Linked DNA regions of Nothobranchius furzeri. The protein of the gene in region 1 binds, or shares a complex with, the protein of each later gene. Links are inferred from orthologs where the notes say so. Each region holds a gene or a part of one and is shown on either strand. Other genes may lie near its edges.

Evidence for each region.
Region 2: transmembrane protein 237B (region 1) and tmem216 share a complex: the UniProt entries of both Homo sapiens proteins name them as parts of the tectonic-like complex. The link is inferred for Nothobranchius furzeri from reciprocal best matches to the Homo sapiens genes TMEM237 and TMEM216.
Region 3: transmembrane protein 237B (region 1) and tmem17 share a complex: the UniProt entries of both Homo sapiens proteins name them as parts of the tectonic-like complex. The link is inferred for Nothobranchius furzeri from reciprocal best matches to the Homo sapiens genes TMEM237 and TMEM17.

Annotation. Positions count from the first base shown.
Region 1 is NC_091742.1:64,221,336-64,228,390, forward strand, and holds the start of transmembrane protein 237B, read right to left. Parts: upstream 3,716-7,055; 5' UTR 3,532-3,715; coding exon 3,508-3,531; intron 3,322-3,507; coding exon 3,292-3,321; intron 1-3,291. UniProt on the Homo sapiens protein: Component of the transition zone in primary cilia. Required for ciliogenesis.
Region 2 is NC_091741.1:65,724,478-65,731,457, reverse strand, and holds tmem216 (transmembrane protein 216), read right to left. Parts: upstream 5,148-6,980; 5' UTR 5,126-5,147; coding exon 5,071-5,125; intron 4,537-5,070; coding exon 4,523-4,536; intron 4,456-4,522; coding exon 4,362-4,455; intron 4,143-4,361; coding exon 4,050-4,142; intron 1,743-4,049; coding exon 1,541-1,742; intron 1,451-1,540; coding exon 1,435-1,450; 3' UTR 1,255-1,434; downstream 1-1,254. Other genes in the region: tmed9 (transmembrane emp24 domain-containing protein 9), read left to right, coding at 6,711-6,867. UniProt on the Homo sapiens protein: Part of the tectonic-like complex which is required for tissue-specific ciliogenesis and may regulate ciliary membrane composition.
Region 3 is NC_091744.1:77,711,343-77,717,922, reverse strand, and holds tmem17 (transmembrane protein 17B), read right to left. Parts: upstream 3,635-6,580; 5' UTR 3,552-3,634; coding exon 3,437-3,551; intron 3,302-3,436; coding exon 3,198-3,301; intron 2,995-3,197; coding exon 2,881-2,994; intron 2,804-2,880; coding exon 2,660-2,803; intron 2,524-2,659; coding exon 2,446-2,523; 3' UTR 1,788-2,445; downstream 1-1,787. Other genes in the region: agbl2 (cytosolic carboxypeptidase 2), read left to right, coding at 273-392, 466-558, 637-735, 1,113-1,203, 1,266-1,415, 1,487-1,517, 1,605-1,773. UniProt on the Homo sapiens protein: Transmembrane component of the tectonic-like complex, a complex localized at the transition zone of primary cilia and acting as a barrier that prevents diffusion of transmembrane proteins between the cilia and plasma membranes.

The DNA.
Region 1 (7,055 bases):
GTTTCCTTTTGTTTAAGATTTACCTGACCAAACCATGAGGCTAAGGAAAAGGATAAAACACTTTCAATAAAAGAACAATAAAACATGGACATTATAGTCCTGTCCACATGGAATGAGGCCAGTTTTCTACGGCAGTACAAACGCTGCTGGCCTTTCTTACCCACAGCATCACAGTTTTCCTCAAAATTCAACTCCTTGTCAATAATTGTCCCCAAATATTTATATGATTTCACTTGCTCAATCGTTTGACCTTTAATTATGGAAAGATCATGCTGTTGTTGTGGCTGCCTTCTAAAATCGATGATCGTATCTTTTGTTTTAATTACATTAAGTTGTAGATATGATTCATCACACCAAGAGATAAAATCATCAAGAACAGGTCCACGGCTGTAATCTCCTTCTCTCTGGAGACTTACTACTACCGAATCATCAGCATATTTAATAATTGTCCTTCTCTCATGTTTGCCTCGGCACATGTTAGTGTATAAAATATACAACAAGGGGGACAAAACACAGCCCTGGGGAGATCCGGTAGACACATTTTTCTTATCCGACAGGGTACCATTCACTCTGACCTTTTGTGTTCTGTTGCTCATAAAATCTAGTATCCACCCAAGCATGCTTTTACTCAGGTGAAACTGTTCCTCTAGCCTATTAACCAAAGCAGTAGGTTGGTGTTGAAAGCGGACGAAAAGTCCACAAAGAGGAGTCGAGCATGAGTTCCTACTAGGTCCAGATGATGAAAAGCATATCTAACAGAGTGACCGTTGCATCCTCCACACCCCTCCCAGCCTGATGTGCAAACTGTAGAGGGTCCAGCAGTCGCTGTGTCTGCTTTAAAAGCTCGCATCTAACCAGCTTTTCAAAGATTTTCATTAAAATGGAAGTTAGAGCAACAAGGCGGAAATCATTTAAAATACCTGGATGTCTCACCTTAGGAATCGGTACAATTTCTGCATCCTTCCACGGTTCAGGGAACTTTTGTAACCGTAAAGATTCATTAAAAATGTGGTGCAGTATAGGTGTCAGCTGGTATGCACAGAATTTAAGTAAGTGGCCACAAATGTCATCTGGTCCTCGGCTCTTGTCCACTCTAACTGTCCTGATGGCCCTACCTATGTCCTCCATGTCAACTTTAAAATGGTCACTATCCTTAAATTTCTCCCTCAGGACACCCTGTTCCCCGCTGAAATCCAGAGCGTCATACCGACAATCAAAACTGTTCAGGGCATTAGCTAGTTCCCTGTCAGTGTTAAACGGGTCTAGACAGATGGTTGTGTACTGTGCCTCGGAGCCATGTCCTGCAATAATTCTCATGCTAGTCCATGCTGAACCAAGTTTATTTGCTGCCATTTTGTTCTCCAGCTGTCTTCTATATTCATGTTTAGCCTTTGTAATTTCTCTTTTTAACAGTATGTTAGCCCGCTGTAACTCAGCCACTGACCCCTGTTTAAAAGTGAAAATGAATAATTATGCTGCCTAAACTAAGTTTTGAGGAGTGTGCAAAGCACTAATCAAAGTGCTTTCCTCAAAATAAAAATATTCCCTTTGGATCCCCGCTGGTTACAACATTAGAGTAATGTATTGCAAACTAATGGAATTTAAAGGCAACACGTTAAATGAAAGACATGCATGTTTACCTTTCAGTATGAAGTGCTATTAAATCTAACTGGAAACTGTCAAACACGGCATGTCGGTCAGAAAAGGGCAAAAAAAAAAAAACATCTAGCTAGCAGTTATTTTCTCTAATGAAACTGAATTTTCAGAAGTGGTATCGCCAAATACAAACCAGATCCGTGGCAAGACATTTCAGTAAATCCATTTTTACAAACAGTCACATCCTCTCCTACAAAACCAGACAAGCACACGGCATGAGTGTATTTAAAGCACCGACTCTCGTTAGTGACAAGATCATATCAAACAGGCAAGATGACAAAAATCTTACCGTCGTCGTTCTGGTTATTTCAACTAAGAACTGAGTCAAAGTGAAGCAAAGCAACACGCGTCATCCCAACTCTGAAATCCTCGGCTAAATCTGGCAGGACTGAGGATTACTTGGGGTCAAAGGTCAGATGAAGCAGCAGTGAAGTGGTTTATTACAGAGAAGTTTAAAATGAAAGGATTCAGTGGAATCTGGTTTAATCTTTCTAATGATACTGGTACAACAGTAAACTACTCAAAGGCCTCACTTGCATATTTAAGTATATAAATAATAAACAAAGAGCTCCAAAGTTTCATAAAGCTATATGGTGGTTGTTGGTAAATCCTTGGTCAGTAGTGGGCTTGTCATGGTACTCAGACCTGAGGGGATTCAGATGTCGTTCTGGATTCCTTTTTTCCTGAATCCCTTACGAACGGGGCATGGTTTGTTGCTTTTTGAGGTCTTTTAACCTTCCTTCTTCATGCTATCAGACAAATTCTATTGAAGTGATTTCTTAATGCTACAATTCTTCAACAGGGGAAGTGAAGTTATCTTTATAGATAAGGGGTTAATTTAACAAAAGGGGAAAAGTGTTTAAAGATAGGGCAAAGTTGTTTTGGATAGCTTTCTACTCCTTCGTTTTATGTTAACCCAGGTTATATTTGACTGATATTTACATTTTTTGCTTATCTGAAACATTTTTAAATGACCTGACTTTCTAGTTCTAACTTCCATCGTGTACATTTATTAATGCTCAGCAGTCACAATGAAGCAGGTGCTTCTTTAGACAAAGCAATATGTTAGTAATAAAAATAAACACTTCTATAACAATATAAAGATTTAGACGTTTTTGAATATTTCTTCACCGTTATGAAGATATTTTACAAAATATTTAAAATCTTCCAATAGCATATTTTCTTTTAAAACTCCTCAAATAAGGACCATTACTTTTACGTTGTAACGTTTTACGATAAAATTTGCAGTACTTCCGCTTTCTAGCTGAGGTGCTGCTTTCAAAGTAAAAGCTGACTTCCGGTTCGTGCTTTCACGATTTAAAAAGCTTTAAAAACATTTTTGAAACTCCTTACAGTAGCAAAATAACATAGTTAAAATATGTCCCAACGTTACATTAGACGTTTAGTATTTGTGTGGGTGTTACTGGAGTTATGCTTCTCTTACACAACATCTATCATCTAACCGTCTGTTGCCATGGAAACGTGGTGAGTGTGTGAATGGCGCAGCCGGGGAAGAGCACGCTAGTATGATCGGCGGTCCCTCCGTTTGTTATGACACTGCGGCTGCAGTAAGTAATTCATATAATATGAGAACAAACAATGATGAGGCTGCGTACGTGGGTGTGAGTCACTGACCTGTGTTAGCGGAGGGAGCTCCCTGACCCTCTGAACATACAAAGAACTTACATTAGTTCGAGCATTATCGCGTACAACATTAATATTATCACATAAACACTTCAAACGAACAACTTAACACAATAATAAAGCATTTGACTGGATTGCATTGATATTATTTGACGTATTTAAATCACAAAACACTATGAAGGCTAGCTAAAGAGGGTAAAAACTTCCCACGTTTGCGTGTCCTGCGTCCATTCTTAATCTTTTCACCGAACAACACGACAGTAATAAGCAACCCGGTCACACCCTCATCAAAATAGAAGCAGATTCTACTCCAAAAATGTTTTTAAACTCGAGTAGCGCGCTAATTGTGTTTGGAGCAGCGTTCTTGGACACCGGATGTGCGCGCGAGAGCAATGTTTACGTCTTCAAAATAAAAGCGACGGATCGACGTAAATATCAAAATGTATTATTGTTATTAATATAGAATAGAAATCATTTTTTGTCAGTGGAAGAGGTTGAAACCGTAGACGGGGACTGTTGGATAACCTTTGACCCCACATGGATTCACCCTGTAAGGAGGCTAATCTTTTCTGGAAAGCTCAGTGTTTTTCATGTAGATTATACTTTTATGCGAAAATGTTTTTTTATGTCTGTAATTGTTTTATGTGTCTTTTCATCAAGTTCTAAGATATGTTCTGCTTTTGCTGCTGCCTCATGGCCTGATCCTTGTTGTAAGCAAGTCACAATTACAATAAATATGAACACAAATGTGCAGGAAAAACGATCTATTCATAAGAATTTAAGTTTTTAAATACAACTTTTTGAGATACGACAAACAAATATGTATTCTCTTTTAATAGTTTTAAACAAATTATGCTTTTTAAAAAAACATATCTTAAGAACTACAAAGATATTTTTGTCACTAATGACACTTGATAGAATTTAATCTCCTAATACAGTGAAATGCTTTTCTCAATAATGCTGCATTTTCAATAATGCTGCATATTATTGAGAAACAAGTGTGAAGTGGGAATCAGTTTCATGTTCACTTAGCTCTCTCTAGCGGTCACTCACCGCTATTGCATCCTGCTCACCGTTGTTGAATCAGGAAAGATGAACAACAAACTACGGTAGTTTAAAAAGCTAAGAAAAACATGCAGCGTTATACCAATACAAAAAACATGTCTGTCGCCATGAGCACATTTATTTAAAAGGGACACACTATGAAGATTTTAAAGCTATAATAGTTCTTTAAAACAATTTTATAGTATTCTTGGTTTTGTTAACATTGCTGTAAGCCAATCAGAGGCTAGATGTTGGCATATCATGAATATTAATGAGAAAGACTTGTAATCAACACCAGAGCATTTTTTGTACAGAAAACGACTAAAAAGGGATTCAGTCATAATAGAGACCAAAACACATTTCTTGAAAAAAAAAAGTGAACGAGACTTTTTAATTTGTAAATACTCTTGTAGGTAACAGCTAAATGGGAGATGGTATGCATAGTGCCTTCTAGAGTCTTTAAACCCCTCAAGGCACTTTACAATACATCAGTCTTTTACTCATCCACACACACATTCACATGCTGGTGGTGATGAGTCACAATGTAGCCACAGCTGCCCTGGGGCTAACTGACTGAGGTGGGTCTGCCGTACACACTAGTCACCAGTTCCACCTGAACACCACCAGCATGCAAGGAGGGTGAAAAAACAACTGCGTCAGACTGAGTGGTATCAAGTCTCTTGAAAACAACCAGGTCTCCAGTAACTAACCCATATGTACCCCAAGTTGTGTATTCCTAAGCTGTGTCAGACCCAAGTTAAAGCTTCTATAGTAAATATGGAAAACAAGTTGGCCTAAAACTTTTAGCCTCTTAACAACATTCTAACGTAGTAAAGCTAAACTGGAGATTTAAAAAAAGAAATAAATTCATTCAATGATTCTCTGGCATTTGTGTTAAAGCCACCGCCAACACCAGCAGCTATTTAACCAAACACTTCCCTGGGTACTCCGTTCATCACACACTCACGTATTTAGCAGCAGAACACCACTGGTGTGAGAGGTTCTCCACTAAAATCAGAGAAGGAGAAACAGCCGGCTGCTACCACTTCTACTTTAGGACAAACTACTAGAGTCCCAAAGAGAAAAACACCATTTGAAGTCACGACCAACAAAAGAAGTTTGGACCTAGAAAACCGCACTATCTTGTGTCCTCCCACAATGCTGCGGTTCCAGCAGAAGGTGAAGAGGGAGCTGAGCCAGAAAGCCAGGCTCTCGATTTACCGGTCGAGCTACGTCCCAATCCTCACCTATGGTCATGAGCTTTGGGTAATGACCGAAAGAACGAGACCACGGATACAAGCGGCCAAAATGAGTTCCCTCCGTAGGGTGGCCGGGCTCAGCCTTAGAGATAGGGTGAGGAGCTCGGACATTCGGGAGGGACTCGGAGTAGAACCGCTGCTCCTCCGGATCGAAAGGAGCCAGTTGAGGTGGTTTGGGCATCTGGTCAGGATGCCTCCTGGACGCCTCCCCGGGGAGGTGTTTCGGGCATGTCCTGCCGGCAGGAGCCCCCCGGGTCGACCCAGGACACGTTGGAGAGGTTACATCTCCAATCTGGTCCGGGAACGCCTTGGGGTCCTGCCAGAGGAGCTGGTGGAGGTGGCCGGGGAGAGGACGGTCTGGAGCTCCCTAGTTGGGATGCTGCCCCCGCGACCCGGACCCGGATAAGCGGAGGAAGACGACGAGTCGACGAAGTACATAACTCCACATGTGTTCATTCATAGTTTTGATGCCTTCAGAGAGAATCTGCCAATGTAAATGGTCATGAACATAAAGACAACACATTGAATGAGAAGGTGTGTCCAAACATTTGGCCTGTGCTGTAAAAGTGAGCCACTCTGGAGTTGAGCTTCAGACGGCAGGATTTGGAGTCTTATTTCCTGACATTTGGACATCTTGCCAAATATCTAATATAACAGCAATACCACTGACTCTGTTCTGCAACGTTGATGTTTTATCTCCACAAACGACACAAAGCTGGCGTGAAGAACTCAGAGTGACTGATTATAATCAGAAATAATCATTTTAAATGTTTGTTCTGTGATTCGCACCTTTAAGTGACTCCAATGTGCCATCAAGACTTCTTCATGCAACTGAACTGAATTGGATTGGACTGAAAAGAACTGAAATAAAATAACTTTATTTATTTTATTTATTTATTTTGGTCATTTAAAAGGAAAAGAAAGAACACAGTAATACAGAATCTCAATTATAGTAACCAAGAAGGTGTAGGCTGAAGCCTAGCTTTTTATGCCTACCCTATTTACTCAATCACATTACTTCTAAAAAAAAAGAGACAATAATAAGATAAAAGTAATGTAATAATAAAAATGAGAGTGAGATAAAAATAATAATTATGATAATAATAATTGAAATATATTGAGCAACAACCATAATTCAGCAAGAGGAAAAATACCCAGAACTAAAGACAGAACTGTACAAAACTACCAGTAATCTTAATAAATCAATGTATGATAATGATCAAAACTGAGATTTAAACACTACAACTTGTGCAAGAACATGACATTTTCATTCACATCTATCAGACACACTAGATCACATACGGTCATTATGGTAGTATGACATCATCTTCTTGACGTACATTTTTTAAATGATTTAACAGTTTTACATGCCCTGATTCCAGTGTCCAAGTTAGTCCATAACTAGACTCCTACTGTTGTGCAACTCTGACTCCTAACATTTGTTCTTACTTT
Region 2 (6,980 bases), on another chromosome or scaffold:
TCCTGCAATATATCGATATTCAAAAACAGTGTATCGAATTTTTGGAATAATTTACATACAAACATTTGTGCATGTATTTTTTTTGTGCAATTCAAACGTCAACCGCTAGTTGGCGGCAGTGTGCAGTGGGTTTTGTTTCTACCACTGAAATGTAAATCGCTCCATTATGGTTCAGATACCTCATGTTAAACATGTTACAAATTATTTTGGACTGTTGATTGAATTTTCCTACAGTAATTTCACTCTAAAAAATTGCTAATATCATCTGGCTGAATGTATCACAATATGCAGTGATATTTCGTATCATCTCCCCTGTATCGTGAAATGTATCCTATCGCCAGAATAAGATTTCACCAATACACATCCCTAACACTAATTAAAGATTTCAATAATCGAGCAGCCCTACACTATGTAGGTTCAGTTGGAATGTTTACTTTGCAAAGTGCCTTGAGAATATTTTTGTTGTTATTTGGCGCTATATATATAACCTACATTGAATTAAAACAGAATAAGTCCTGTGTGTGGTGGTTTGTAGAACTACAGGGTCTATGATGAACCTCGAAGCTCTGGGTTAAACCGCATCCAGATCACGTGAATACCCCTTTAAACCAACAGAGGCATTCAACTGGAAACAAGCTGATGAGAAAAATGTTAATATCAACCTTTTCACTGATGAGATTGGAGAGAACCAAGGACTCATCCATGAGGAACACCTCTGGTATTGATGGATTATTTTACCACCTTCTGGTGTTTCAGACCTATCTGGACTTAGCTTAATGTGTTTAAAAGTTCAGTGAAAAACTGAAGCTAAACAAACTTCCTGTTGTGTTGCAGGCGGTCCAGCTGCACATCAGATTCGCTGACCGCACCACCACCTACAACAAAAACAGACTGATATTTCTGCAGCTGAGAGTCAAACAGCTGACTGATCAGGCCCAACAGATAAAGGAGTTGGACTACTGGAGGGTGAGGGGGTGAATCATGGTGTAGACCATAGACTGTACATATACCTGAGGCCTGAGCTGTCCTTTAAAAAAACGCTGTGTTCTCAGGCCATGGTGGCTTACTTCTACAGCATCAACTACAGCACCAACATGTGGATCTTCTGGTGGCCCATCCTCCGAGTCATCTATGTGGTGGTTTATGTGGTGGGATTTACCAGCATCTAGTAACGCCACATCATGGTTACCTGCACTCCTGATCTGAGTCAAAACAGATCTACTCTACTTCTGTCCTTAGAAATGTGAGGCTGATTTAGTGTTTGGCTTTGTCACTTTGGCTTTTATTTAGAAAGTTCAGACATAAAACAGTCTTACAGAAGGAAAACTTTAAACATATTTACAAAATAATATCGTTGTATAAAAATACAGGTTCCTTTTAGTGAGGAAGGCTCATCTGGTCTGTCCTGATGTGTTTCAGATGATGGTTTGTTCTTCAGTAAACCTTAGACCTACAGAAGAAACGGAAAAGGAAAACAAACCATAAAATAAAAATAGGTCACTTCCTCTGAAGCCCCCAATAGCCCCCAAGATGTGGTCACCTGGAGAAGGTGGATATGGAGATGACTCCAAGGAGAAACTCTAGGCTGTAGAAGCAGAGCAGGATGGAGCTGAGGATAAACTCGAGGCGAAGGACGAAGGTCTGCAGCAGCAGGTAATAAACAGCCAGTGCCGCACAGGGAAGCAGGATGGAGAGGGACATGCAGGAGGACAGAGAACGCTCACACAGGTTCCCCTTCCAGCCTAGACGACGACACAATGCACACCACTCAGTGAGATGGTCTATCTGCTTAAAGCAGAAAATAACCTGCTTCCATTTCACTGAAGGGCTCCCACAAACGGAGGCTTTTAACGGCAAGAGCACAGATGGGACGACCCAAACATTCTCCTCAATTTTTAGAAGCACATTTATGTCTTCCTTGGTAAAACAGGAAATGAAATAGAACTTGTGTAGATTCTCATAAATGTCACTTTGTGATGATGATTAAGTTTGTTTGGTATTTTTTTGCCTGCTTTCTGTATGCTGTGGTAATCCTCAGACTGGTGGATTGGTTGGGAAAGTCATTGAACTGGTTGTGGTTGTTGTTTTGTTTTGATTTGATTTTTGATATTTTTTCCAAGATTTGACTTCAGATTTCATGTGGTACGTTTGGGAAGTGCGTAGCTTTATATTAAAACCAGAGGATCCAAGCCTCTTTAAAAACTTTATATAGCTTTTATTTTTTATATATTTTTAAATCAATTGATTTCAGTATATTTAGACACCTGTTGTACTTGTTGCTATAAAACGTCTCATAAACAGTGATGACTGAACATGTTTCAAACTGGTTAAATTCATTAAGTTAAAATCAGAGCTGGTTTGGCTGCTTAGTCTTGTATCAGAGGTTTAAAGAGTTTACAGTAAACATTTCACTTCACGAGTTCTTCTCAGTAGCTCCTGCTGGATGACGTGTTCAGACACACACGTTCACACAAACTGAGACACTGACTTCTATGTTATAACTAATATAACTGTTCAGCTTCAGTTTTAATGATTGTGTTCAGTTATTTATCAAAGACAGTCTGGTGCAGGATTTTCACAGGGATTTAAAAACAAGTCCTTACATGTGCTGTAGAGCCATAATTAAATACATGTGTTGGGAGAGTTGATCACTGGGTTTCTGTTTTATTCCTCTTTTTGTTGTCATGGTGACGCAACAGGGGCCACATGGGTGCAGGTGGTCGCAATCAAAAGGAGCTGTCAGTCTGTCGCCTGGTGGTTTTACAGAGGAGGGATGGGTAGCCGTAGTTATTGTTGACCATTACAATTCAGTTCGTCTTACTTTGTTTACATGGTCACGTTATGTTTAGGGATTTGACCCAAATTAAGTTAAAGCCACCTGTAACAGTAAAAAGCTATAATAAATGGAGAAATGCATCCCATCTCTCTGTGGGTTCATGAGAAGCTGACAGCGCATCAAACAAATAGACCTGGGGCCTCATTTATCAAGCTTGCTTACACACAACACGGGGTCGGAAAACTGCGTAAGGAACTTTCCACGCAAACTTTGGGATTTATGAAAGAAAACTTAGCAGGAAAATGTGCGCAACTTTAAGTTGACTAAGGACCTTGCTTACACACATGTTGGACATGGAGAGCACCTGCAGTGCTGCCGAGAAGGATAAAATTATGAAATCCTGCAGCATTATCACTTGTACTGCTTCGTTTTCACACAGACAAGACCCCCACATGCACACACACACGCGCGCACACACACACAGCCTAAAGCGCAGAATACGGAATGCAGAATATCAGCAGGGGGACAGATCAAGACAGTGTGAGCGTCCTGTCACCGTGACCCGATTGATCATGCGCCCTGGCTACTTGTACAGGGGAGATTTCTGTTTGGGTGGCTGGTTAGCGTGCGTGACTTTCACCTGGGAGTCTGGGGATCGAATCCTGATTGGACAAAGTTTTTTATATCCGCCACAGATCTCTCTGAAGAATTCAAAACATTGATGGCTTCAGCAACATTGTGCCACTCCGTGGAATTTCTCTTGTTTTGCAAAAGCACTTCCTTTCATTTCTCCACCTCACCCACAAGTACCTGAATTTCTGCTTGTGAAATAGCGCTTCCTTGATCTGCGGTCGTGATCGAAATGCTGCAACAAGCCAGCTTATGTATATGCATGAGATCCACAAGGCACTTTGCATTGGCTATTTATGGCAGTAAGTGGCTGTGGTGAGGGCGGGATGTGACTAAAAAGCAGCTGAGAAACATTCTCGTTAGTCTCCGATTTATGAAGCGGAGATTGCGTGCAGCTGTGCGTCCTCCATGTTTGATAGATCACAAACCTGCTTGGCGTAAGTACTTTTTTTTTGCTGAGCTTAAGTACGGTTTTATTAAGGAATCTACGCAATGTCTGATAAATGAGACCCCTAGACCCATTCTCTGCCTCTATAGTGACTGTGGAAGTATGTGGTCACCCGGAGGAGGTGACGTATACATGCTCACAGAACTAGTAAACACTGATTTCTAAATACTCATGTTTGCTGTTTCTGTTCTTTACCATAAAAGATCCTCAGAGTCTCCAAACCGAGGAAGAGAAGGAGCAGAACCACGTCCAGAACCAGATTGTCTGATGGGTACGGCAACAAGATTCCTGCACAGACAAAATGGACCACATCTCTTTTTGGTTTCCACAGAGAAGGTTTCATCAAGGAGCTGTTTGGTTGCCAGGTGTTATCTCATGAACACTGAGGATTTATTTGAAAACTAAAGCAGATGAAGGCACAGTTGAGATGTGATTAATCATGGTTCCTCCTGAGTTTATAGTTTCTGCTGTTGTGAAAGTGGGAAATTTGGTAAATATGTCACAGACCTTTATAAATGAACATGAGGATCTCTGCCAGGTAGAAGGCAGCAAAGTACCAGCTGTTCAGGTACAGGAGCACCTGCAGAGGAGTGGATGAGAGCTGTACGAGAGACGGTCAAGGATAACAGCAGCAGGTAAAACATGAGCTGCCAGTTATATAAGGATACAACAGGCTGGCTTCCTGCAGAAGAGACAGAACCAAGCTCTCATTAACATCTGCAATTAGTATGCTGTAGGCTCAAAATCAGCATCAGTAAAATTACTGACTTACTACTGATGGATAAAATAGTAAAAGAAAAACAGTAGGGCTAAATGATGTAACTAGCTCTAAATGCTATTTATATAGAGAGAAAATCACTCATCTGGATCTTGCATCTATAAAATAATATTTTTGTTTACGTAAAAAAGCACGAAATACGTGTTTTCCACAATAAAAAGATTATTTGTTACTGCGTAGCTTTTAGGAGTAATACGCAGTAACGTGTTCGCTGATAAGTAATGTGTTGATTTTTAGGTCATCGCAGTTCGAGCAGACGCTTAGCTTCAGTTCACAGACAAGATAAACCTCGGCTGCCGTTTTCTTTAGCTTTTCCTCCAAACGGAAACGAAAACGTTACATTTCCCTTTTCATTTGGGTCCAAATAAACATCGCGACAGATTCAGACGGCGGACTTTTATTCGGTTTATAAGGAACAAACAACTGCATGAAACTCACCAGGCGCCATGTCTTGATTTCTGGTTGCTATGGATACCATAGACTTAGAACACATACACGCTGCTTTCTTTTATGTAATTTCGAAGCCGCCATATTGGAGAGGGAGACGGGCGAAGCAGACTCAGGCTTTTTGGAACGGCTTACAGCTAAAAGCCAGCAGATCTTTTACTACTCTAATCCCAATCCATACTCGAAGCATCAGTGGTACGGAACATCTCTGTTTAAAATTTAATCCATCCACACCGGTCGCAGTGCAGAACATTTTAGGCGCATCTCAGAAGTGACTCGCCTTCATGTTTTCTATTTTTTAAGATGTATTCAGATCATCACCCGTCTTCATTTGGTCAGGATGACCCTGAACAGTCTCCATCAGCTGCCTGCACTGCACTACAGACACTAACAGCAGGATTAAGACAAATCCCGATTCATTTCAATCTTTAGTTAGAAACGTGACGAAAACTAATTTTGTTTAATTGGTGTCTAACTGAAACTGGGCTTTACCTCTGTTTTGTGTTCATCAAAATATTTTTATTTCATATAAAAATTGTTCGTGATTAATAATCAAGTAATTTAGAAAATTTAGGCTATTTTTTATTTAGGCCTTTTTTTGTTGTTTGTTACTCATAAAATGTAATACAATCACCAGGGTAATCGATCGTTTCAGTATACTGAGCTTAAGATAATTTTGTGCTAGTTAAACCAAATCAATAAGAATGTATTGTTTTTAAAACTAAAAGAAACCAAACTCATTAGCTCAAAATTATTCACCAGTTGTATGTTTTTTTTAAATATATATTGTCTGTTTATTCCGACACTATTGTAATCGTAAAACGTTTAGGCTTGTAATGAATCAAAAAAGGAAAACTATATTTCACGCCATAAATGCATTATGCAGTCTGAGGATTTCAGTGCAGCTTCTACATTTTACATGTCTGTGTGCTTCCGGTCGCGCTGGTTTTTCTTTTTCGGTCCTCTTCATCATAAGGGCTGCACTACTGCCCCCTTTTGGATCTATCGAGTTTCTACAGTCTTTCACGTGCACCCGTGGATTAAAAACGGGTCTAATGTGTATGTCGATGGTCTAAACCTGTTTTGTTTTTTGTGTTTTCTGTAGAATATATAGTTACGTTAATAAAATATCAAATCAAGCTTTATTATTTTTCCCACAAATGAATCTATTATTCATCAAATAAAGAGCTAAAACAAAACAAAATTGGGTTATTCTATTTTTCATCTGAAGTAGCCTATTGGTTTTCTTTATAAATTCAAATTCATTCAGTCTATCATTTATCACCCAAAGATTGCAGGAGAAAATGTTTAATTGTTTATTTATGAAATTGTATGTCTGTTGTCGGACAAAAGAATAACCATCACGTTCAAATAATGATCACTTTATACAGAAAATCAATCTATCCGTTTTCTGAAACTAATCACATCCCATTTCGATCCAAACCAAAAAATCGCAGAGGGTTCTGTAAAATCGTTGAAAGCATTTTAATTCAAATAAGGGCCAAGGTGTCAAAAAAACGGCAATATCCAGCATGCATCAGCAGCGTACTGATTGGCCAGGACTTTTCGAGGGTTTACGTGGCACTGTTGTTCCTGCGCATGCTCAGTGACAAGTCTGTCCCGGCAGGAAGATGGTGTCGTTGCGGTTCAAGATGCAGCAGTCGTTTGTGTTTTCAGTTTTATTCCTGAATGCTTTATACATCTGCGTCTCCTCTTTGTACTTTCACATCGGAGAGACCGAGAAGAAATGTTTCATAGAGGAAATTCCAGACGAGACGATGATTATCGGTGAGTGTCGGAGCTTAATGCTGTTAGCTAAAGCTGTTAGCGCCATGCTGAGTTGAAGTAAACTTGTCTCTTCACAGGAAATCAACAAATGTCAAGCTTGTGCTGAGCTCAGA
Region 3 (6,580 bases), on another chromosome or scaffold:
AAGGGAAATTAGTTTGTAGCATTGTTAGTTATTTCATTTAAAAATACCCAATTTAAACAAATAAATGTTGGTATGAAGCACACCTGACACTGAAAAAAAGAAATATTTTATACTTGGTCTTTTCCAGGTGTTTTGTCCCATGACTGCTAGGAAATAGGGACAGAGCAGTGTGCAGTAAAAGTTACTTTTGTCACTTCGTTAAAAAAAAAGTCTCAGCAGCTCATCATTCCCTGTTTTGGGTAATTACCTACTCACATTGTTCTCTCCTACAGAAAAAAGTCAAGAAGAAAAAGAAACGACTGAAGTCTCGCAGAGAAAGAAACGGGCTGCAGCCAGACGGAGCGAGGAGTAGTGCACGGCCAAAAGTCCTACAACGCAGCAGCACGAGTATCGTAAGACTAGTAAAGAGCCCTTGCTGCTCAGATTAAATTAGTTCTGTAAGCTGATGAGTAACCGTTTCTGCAGGAGGCTGACCTGCCTCAGGACAACACAGATAAGCAGAGAAAAAGAGAGAAACCTGTTGGAGGAGAAAGAAGGAAACAGCAGGTAAAAACTACAGTAAGTAGAAATATGATATGTGATACAAGTAACTAGGTGGGAAGTTTGATTTCCTGATAAGAGACTTTTATTTTGAAGCTCAACACCCTCATAAAAAAGGTTGAACTCTCATCTCCCACTGGTAACCATGGAGACGCCAGTCAGGGGACTCTGAGGAAAGACTGCAAGCACATCTTGGTAAACATTATTTCGGTAACACTTTACAATAAGGGTCCCTTTATTAATGTTACTTAGTGCATTATTAAGCATGAATAAATTATTAGATAAAAGTGTTAACAACAGCTTAACCATATTATGTAATGCATTACTAAGCAGATATCGTCCATGGCCCTTTGTCCTAACCTTAAGGACACCTAATAGTTAACAATAGTGGAAATGTTTTGTTTATTAATGCACTAAGATTAATAATGGGGCCTCTATTGTCAAGTGTAACTGTTATTTCTGCTACAAAATTACATGACCTTTAATTTTTGATCATTAATGAAAGATAATAAAAAGTGTTATTTTAATTCCAACTTGTGGATCTTTCTATGGTATTTTTTTGTGTGTTTTAGGAAAACTGCTCAGGGAGCCGGTGCACTTCATGCCTTCAGCGGAGAGCGTCTCCACATGCCGACACGCGCGCAGCTGCGTCACCCCACTCAGGTAAGGTTAGGAGACACATAGGAGGTTTTCCAGCAGATAAGGACGCATGACTCGTTTCACAGGTGATGCAATAGTGAGAGGACAGTGGAAATGCTCCTCTCAGCTACTACACCTGAGTGCTCTCCTTCCACTTCCTCCAACTTTCATTCCCTCTGCGCAGCACCAGCGTTTCCCTCTGCGCCAATCTCTTTCCCACTCTCAAGTCTGCAGAGGTTTGTTTCTTGAACAGCAGCTTAAAGTCTCCATCGGTTTTTGCCTAATGCGAACCACCTTCTTCTTTCAGGGCTGACATCTCCTTTTGCAGCACCTGGCAGGTAAACTTCATGGATAGATTATAGTTTATTACAAAAGGGTGTGTTGTGTGTTCATAATTTTTGTATGCTGTGTTGCTTTCATGGCAGATGTCCCCCATCTTTGTCTACCAGCATGGCTCCAGCTGTTGTTCCAAAAAACCAGCCGCTGACGAGTTTCACCTCCACCAATACCAGCAGTCGGCATCGTTTTAGAAACAGATCTTGTCTTCAGGCGTCCTCCACATCAAACACAAACCTAATCAAGACAAAGCAGTGAAACGGGTGCCAGGATTCTTCTCAAAGTTCAGCTGCATTTTAATAGAACAAGTTATTTTTGTGACAATGATGCTTCATTGGGAAGATCTAACAGAAAAACACATACGTTTTATACCAAATCTCACTTATCTCTTCGTCTTGTGACAATAACATGCTTTAATTCTTCTGATTATTCTAATGCAATCTCATGATTTCTCAAATAATATTTTCAGTACATGAAAATAAATGTTGTAAAAAATATAAAATAAAATAAAGCACTTGGGTGTTTCATGAATTTTGTTGAAACTTTCTGTTTTGGTCAGAACGTTTCAGTCCCTCTGAAGCAAAAAGCTCCTGAACAAAGAGCAGCGTAAATGTCGGTAACTTTGTACAAAAATTTCTTTTGTAATTAAAAAATAACTAAATGGTCAACAAATCTAAACCAGATGCTAACTAACAGTACAGAGTGAGTCAAGTAAACATGATTTACTTCAAATTTACAAAAGCAATGATACAAGTGGAACAAAATACAAAAATAAATATTTTCTATTATTTTTTAGCATTAAATTTAAAATTGTGTGAAGAAAGTGTACCAAATCCTATATGCAAATACATAGTTTTTGTCATTTGAGACTGGGAGGTATGAAGTAAGAATAAATCCTGATCAAATGGAACACCAGAACATATGTGGACGTCAGTCAAACTGTTGGAGATGAAACTGGCTTCCTGTGTGTCTAACCATTTCCCGCAGGGCCACAAAACCAAAGACAGCCTGGATCAATCAGAAAACAAAAAAAAAACAGATTACAATCAGTCACAATTACTTGATCTCAAATTTGAGAAAACACAATAACATGTGTATTTAGGTGCATTTGCCACGTAAAATGGAGCTGAGAATCCAGTCATACCTGTGTGAGGATAAATATGGCAAGAACTATGTGGACACCTCTCTCCAAGGGCAGTATGATTATGGCTTCATTAAAAAGTTGAAAAAGAATGAGTGGAAACTGCAGCAGGATGCTCAGCAGCCAAAAGCCGGCCAACTCTGGAACCTTCCACAGATCAGAAATTACATTCAAACCCCACCCTGCATTCAGCACCTGTATCATGTCATCTGAGATGGTCTCACCTTTTCTTGCAGGTTTCCAGAGTAACCAAGATAAAGTCTGATGGCCTCAATCAGAGTCATCAGTAGAAGAACAGTCACAAGGACAAACTTGTAGTAATTTGGAAGGGCAGGATACTGCAAGAACAACTACCATCAGCATTCTTGTTGTGTTGGAAGCTTCAAAACATACATGAAAAATCTGATTCTAAAATGAATTGCTATAGTTTAATACATATCCATACTTAAGCACCAAAGTATCCTAAATCTAGCTTAGATATTTGGGATTTTTCTTTCTTTCTGGGTTTTCTGCTCGCGGCTTCCATCCACCAACCTCGTACCTTGAGGTGAAGCATCACAGCTTCACTGATCCACCAGAACGGGAAGAACCACGTGTTAAAGTACAAAGACATCTGGAGCTGGAGGCTGGACAGAACCCGTTTGTCTAAACACATACAAAAAAAATGAGGGGAACTAACTAAAATCGGTATGGTAAAGTAACAAGGCTACACACATCCATGCTAACATCCATGCTAACTCGACTTCATAGTTAGCTTGTGTTTTTGTTTTTTTTTTTTACCGTGAGGTATAAACGAGTCGTTGTGTTTTGAGAACGGCTCATTACGAGTCTGGTCGAATAAAACATTCCGAGAAAAATCTTCTAAGCGCCTCCTAACTGTCTCCGGCAGCTCCATTGCAAAGAAAATCAGGCTAAAAACAACATGACCAGAGGAGAAACACTTCCGCTTTTTCCTACTAGCTCCGTCGTGAAAGCCACCGTCGTTTCCATGGTAACCATTGATGGTAGTGGGGGTGAGAGAAAGTGAAAGGCCAGAAGCAAAACGTGTCTCCTTTTGCGTTTTCAAAACTTCCCAGATTTTAACTACATTGATAATAAAAATTTAAAAAGCGAGACTAGATAGGGGGGAGAGTATAATGTGTAGCTCAAATAATATTTATGGAAGCTGATTAACGCTACTCATTAAAAAATATCTCATTTCATTATTATGAGATAGCATTTGATATGGCTTTATGTCTCAGAATAATTAGTTACTATGAGACAGCATCATAATTTTTACTAGCTATCTCATTATAGTGATACTAGGGTTGCAGCTATCGAACATTTTAGTATTCGAACATTCTATCGAACCCTCTGTTGATTCTCTTTGACAATGTTTTAAGTGAAACAAAATTGTGGCTTTCTGCAAAAAATGTGTATGTAAAAATAGTATGTATTCAATAGGTGTTGTCTAGTTCCCTCCCTCTCTGCACCAGTAAAATTTGGTGCACATATTTAAACCCTCCCACTGTCCTAATGGGTGTGACCCCACGAGGAAAGTTGACCATTGAGCAGGGTTGATGGTTTATCCCTTGGGTCCACGTGGCAGGGGTGAGGAGTGAGCACCACCTCACCCCTGCCACGTGGACCTCAAGGGATAAACCATCAATCCTGCTTTATGGTCAACTTTCCTCGCGGGGTCACCCATAAAGACAGTGGGAGGGTTAACAAAGTCTTGAATCAGTAAAAAATAGTTCATGAAATTTAATTAATCAAACCATTCATACCATTTAATGATTAATTTCCACCCTACGTGATGAGATGTGGGGCTGAAATGAATAGATAGTATCTCATAATTATGAGACGCTATCCCTAAATAATGAGATTGTGTCTTGTTATTATGAGATAGGTAAGTCATAATTATGAGATACATTTTTTTAATCAGAGTGGCAGGAATGGGCTTCCATACTTATGGGAACCATGCTCAGTAAGTTTTTTTTAGTTATACAAGTCAGGCAAATAACACCAGGAGGAGGAAAAAACCTGTTTCATAGTTGTTGTTTTTTTGCTTTAAGAGAAAATGAAAATTACTGATTGTGTGTGAAGCCACTCCCGCTCTAGCAGAAACTAGGATGGCTGCAACAAGAGAGGCAGCTGATTCTCTGTCCAGCTACATGTGTTCAAAGCTGATGAAGAACCCTCTTTACTGTGGACATGTGGACTTCTGCATGGACTGTGTGAACAGCTACTGGGTCCTGAAGGAGACGAGAGGTGTTTACAACTGTATTCAGTGTCTACACACATTCCCCTCAAGACCTGTGCTGAACAAGAACACAGTTCTGGCTGATCTGATAGTAAAACTGGCTAAATCAGACCAAGCCACCATTGCTGGAGAAGAGGAGTCTGGGTCAGAAGGTGTGGAGTGTGATTTCTGCACTGTGAAGAAGCTGAAAGCTATCAGATCGTGCTTGGTGTGTCTGGCCTCTTATTGTGCCACACATGTGCAGCCTCACTGAGTCTGCTGCTTTCAAAAGGCACAAGCTGGTGGAAGTGTCATCTTCCATGCAAGAGAAGATCTGCTCTAAGCACGACAAGCTGCTGGAGGTTTGCTGTCGCACTGACGATGAATGCATTTGTCTGCTTTGTGTCATGGATGAGCACAAAGGTCATTACACTGTATCAGCTGCAGCAGGGCGGAAAGAGAAACAGGTACGCTTTTTTTGGTTGGTTATTGGATCCCAAAGATACAGCATATAGATAAAATGTAGAGACTTTATTCCTACATTTTAAATGTCCTTGTGGTTGAACACATTATTGAGCAAAAACAAATAAGTAAAACTTCTATATTTTATTAGAAACATGTTGGACACAAGAAGCTATTCCAGCAAGGACTTCATGAAAAAGAGAAGCGTCTGCGACAGCTGAGACAGAAAATAAAAGCATTACAGGTGGTTATAGTTAACAGATTAACACGAACACATTATTAAATTATTAAATAATATGTGTATATATTTATTTTTCTTTCTTTCAGTGCTCTAGAGATGCAGCACTTGATCAAAATGAGAAGGCCTATGCTGAACTGGTGTTGGTGGCAGATTAAAGACGTGCTGCTCTGAAGGAACAGATCATGCATCAGGAAAAAGCAGCTCTGGGCCAGGCTGAGGCACTCATAGGACGACTCCAGAGGCAAACCAGTGATCTGAGGAAGAGACGGGATGAGCTGAAGCAGCTGTTATTAACTGATGATAACATTTATTTTCTGGAGGTGAAAAAACACAAACTCATGCACAGTTTATGGAGTTTATATGGCAGAATTTAATGCTCTTGTTTTATAATTGTCCAGCAATACAGGCAGATTTTTGATGGGAAAGAACTTGATGCAAGCCCTACGTGCAACTTTGACCCACATGTAGCCTTTGATTTTGTGACAAAGGCTTTGTCCGACGTGAGAGACAAAATGGAAATTGCGACAAAAGCTATTCAAGAAATGTCAGAAACAAGTAAGAAAACATATGTTCTGGTGTGTGTGTGTGTGTGTGGTGCTCTTAATGAAACATCCCATCTTCTGTTTTTAGTTGAAGCTGACGCCAATCCAAAGACCAGGCAGGATATGTCTGTGTGTGAGTGATTTGTGTAAAACATTTCCCATCTGGCTTCAGCAGTGATCAAACTGAATCACATTGTCTCTCTTTGGACATTTCAGATTCCTGCAGCCTGAGTTTGAATCCCAACACGGCATTTGACAACCTGCTGCTCTCTGAGGGAAACACTAAGGTGACCTGGATAAAGAGGGCCCAGCACTATCCCAACCACCCGGAGAGATTCACAAAATCCGATCAGGTGTTGTGCTCTGAGGGTTTGTCTGGTGTTTGTTACTGGGAGGTTGAATGGAGGGACCCTCGGGTCAAGGTTGCTTTGTGCCACAAACAAGCCAAGCTGGAAGAA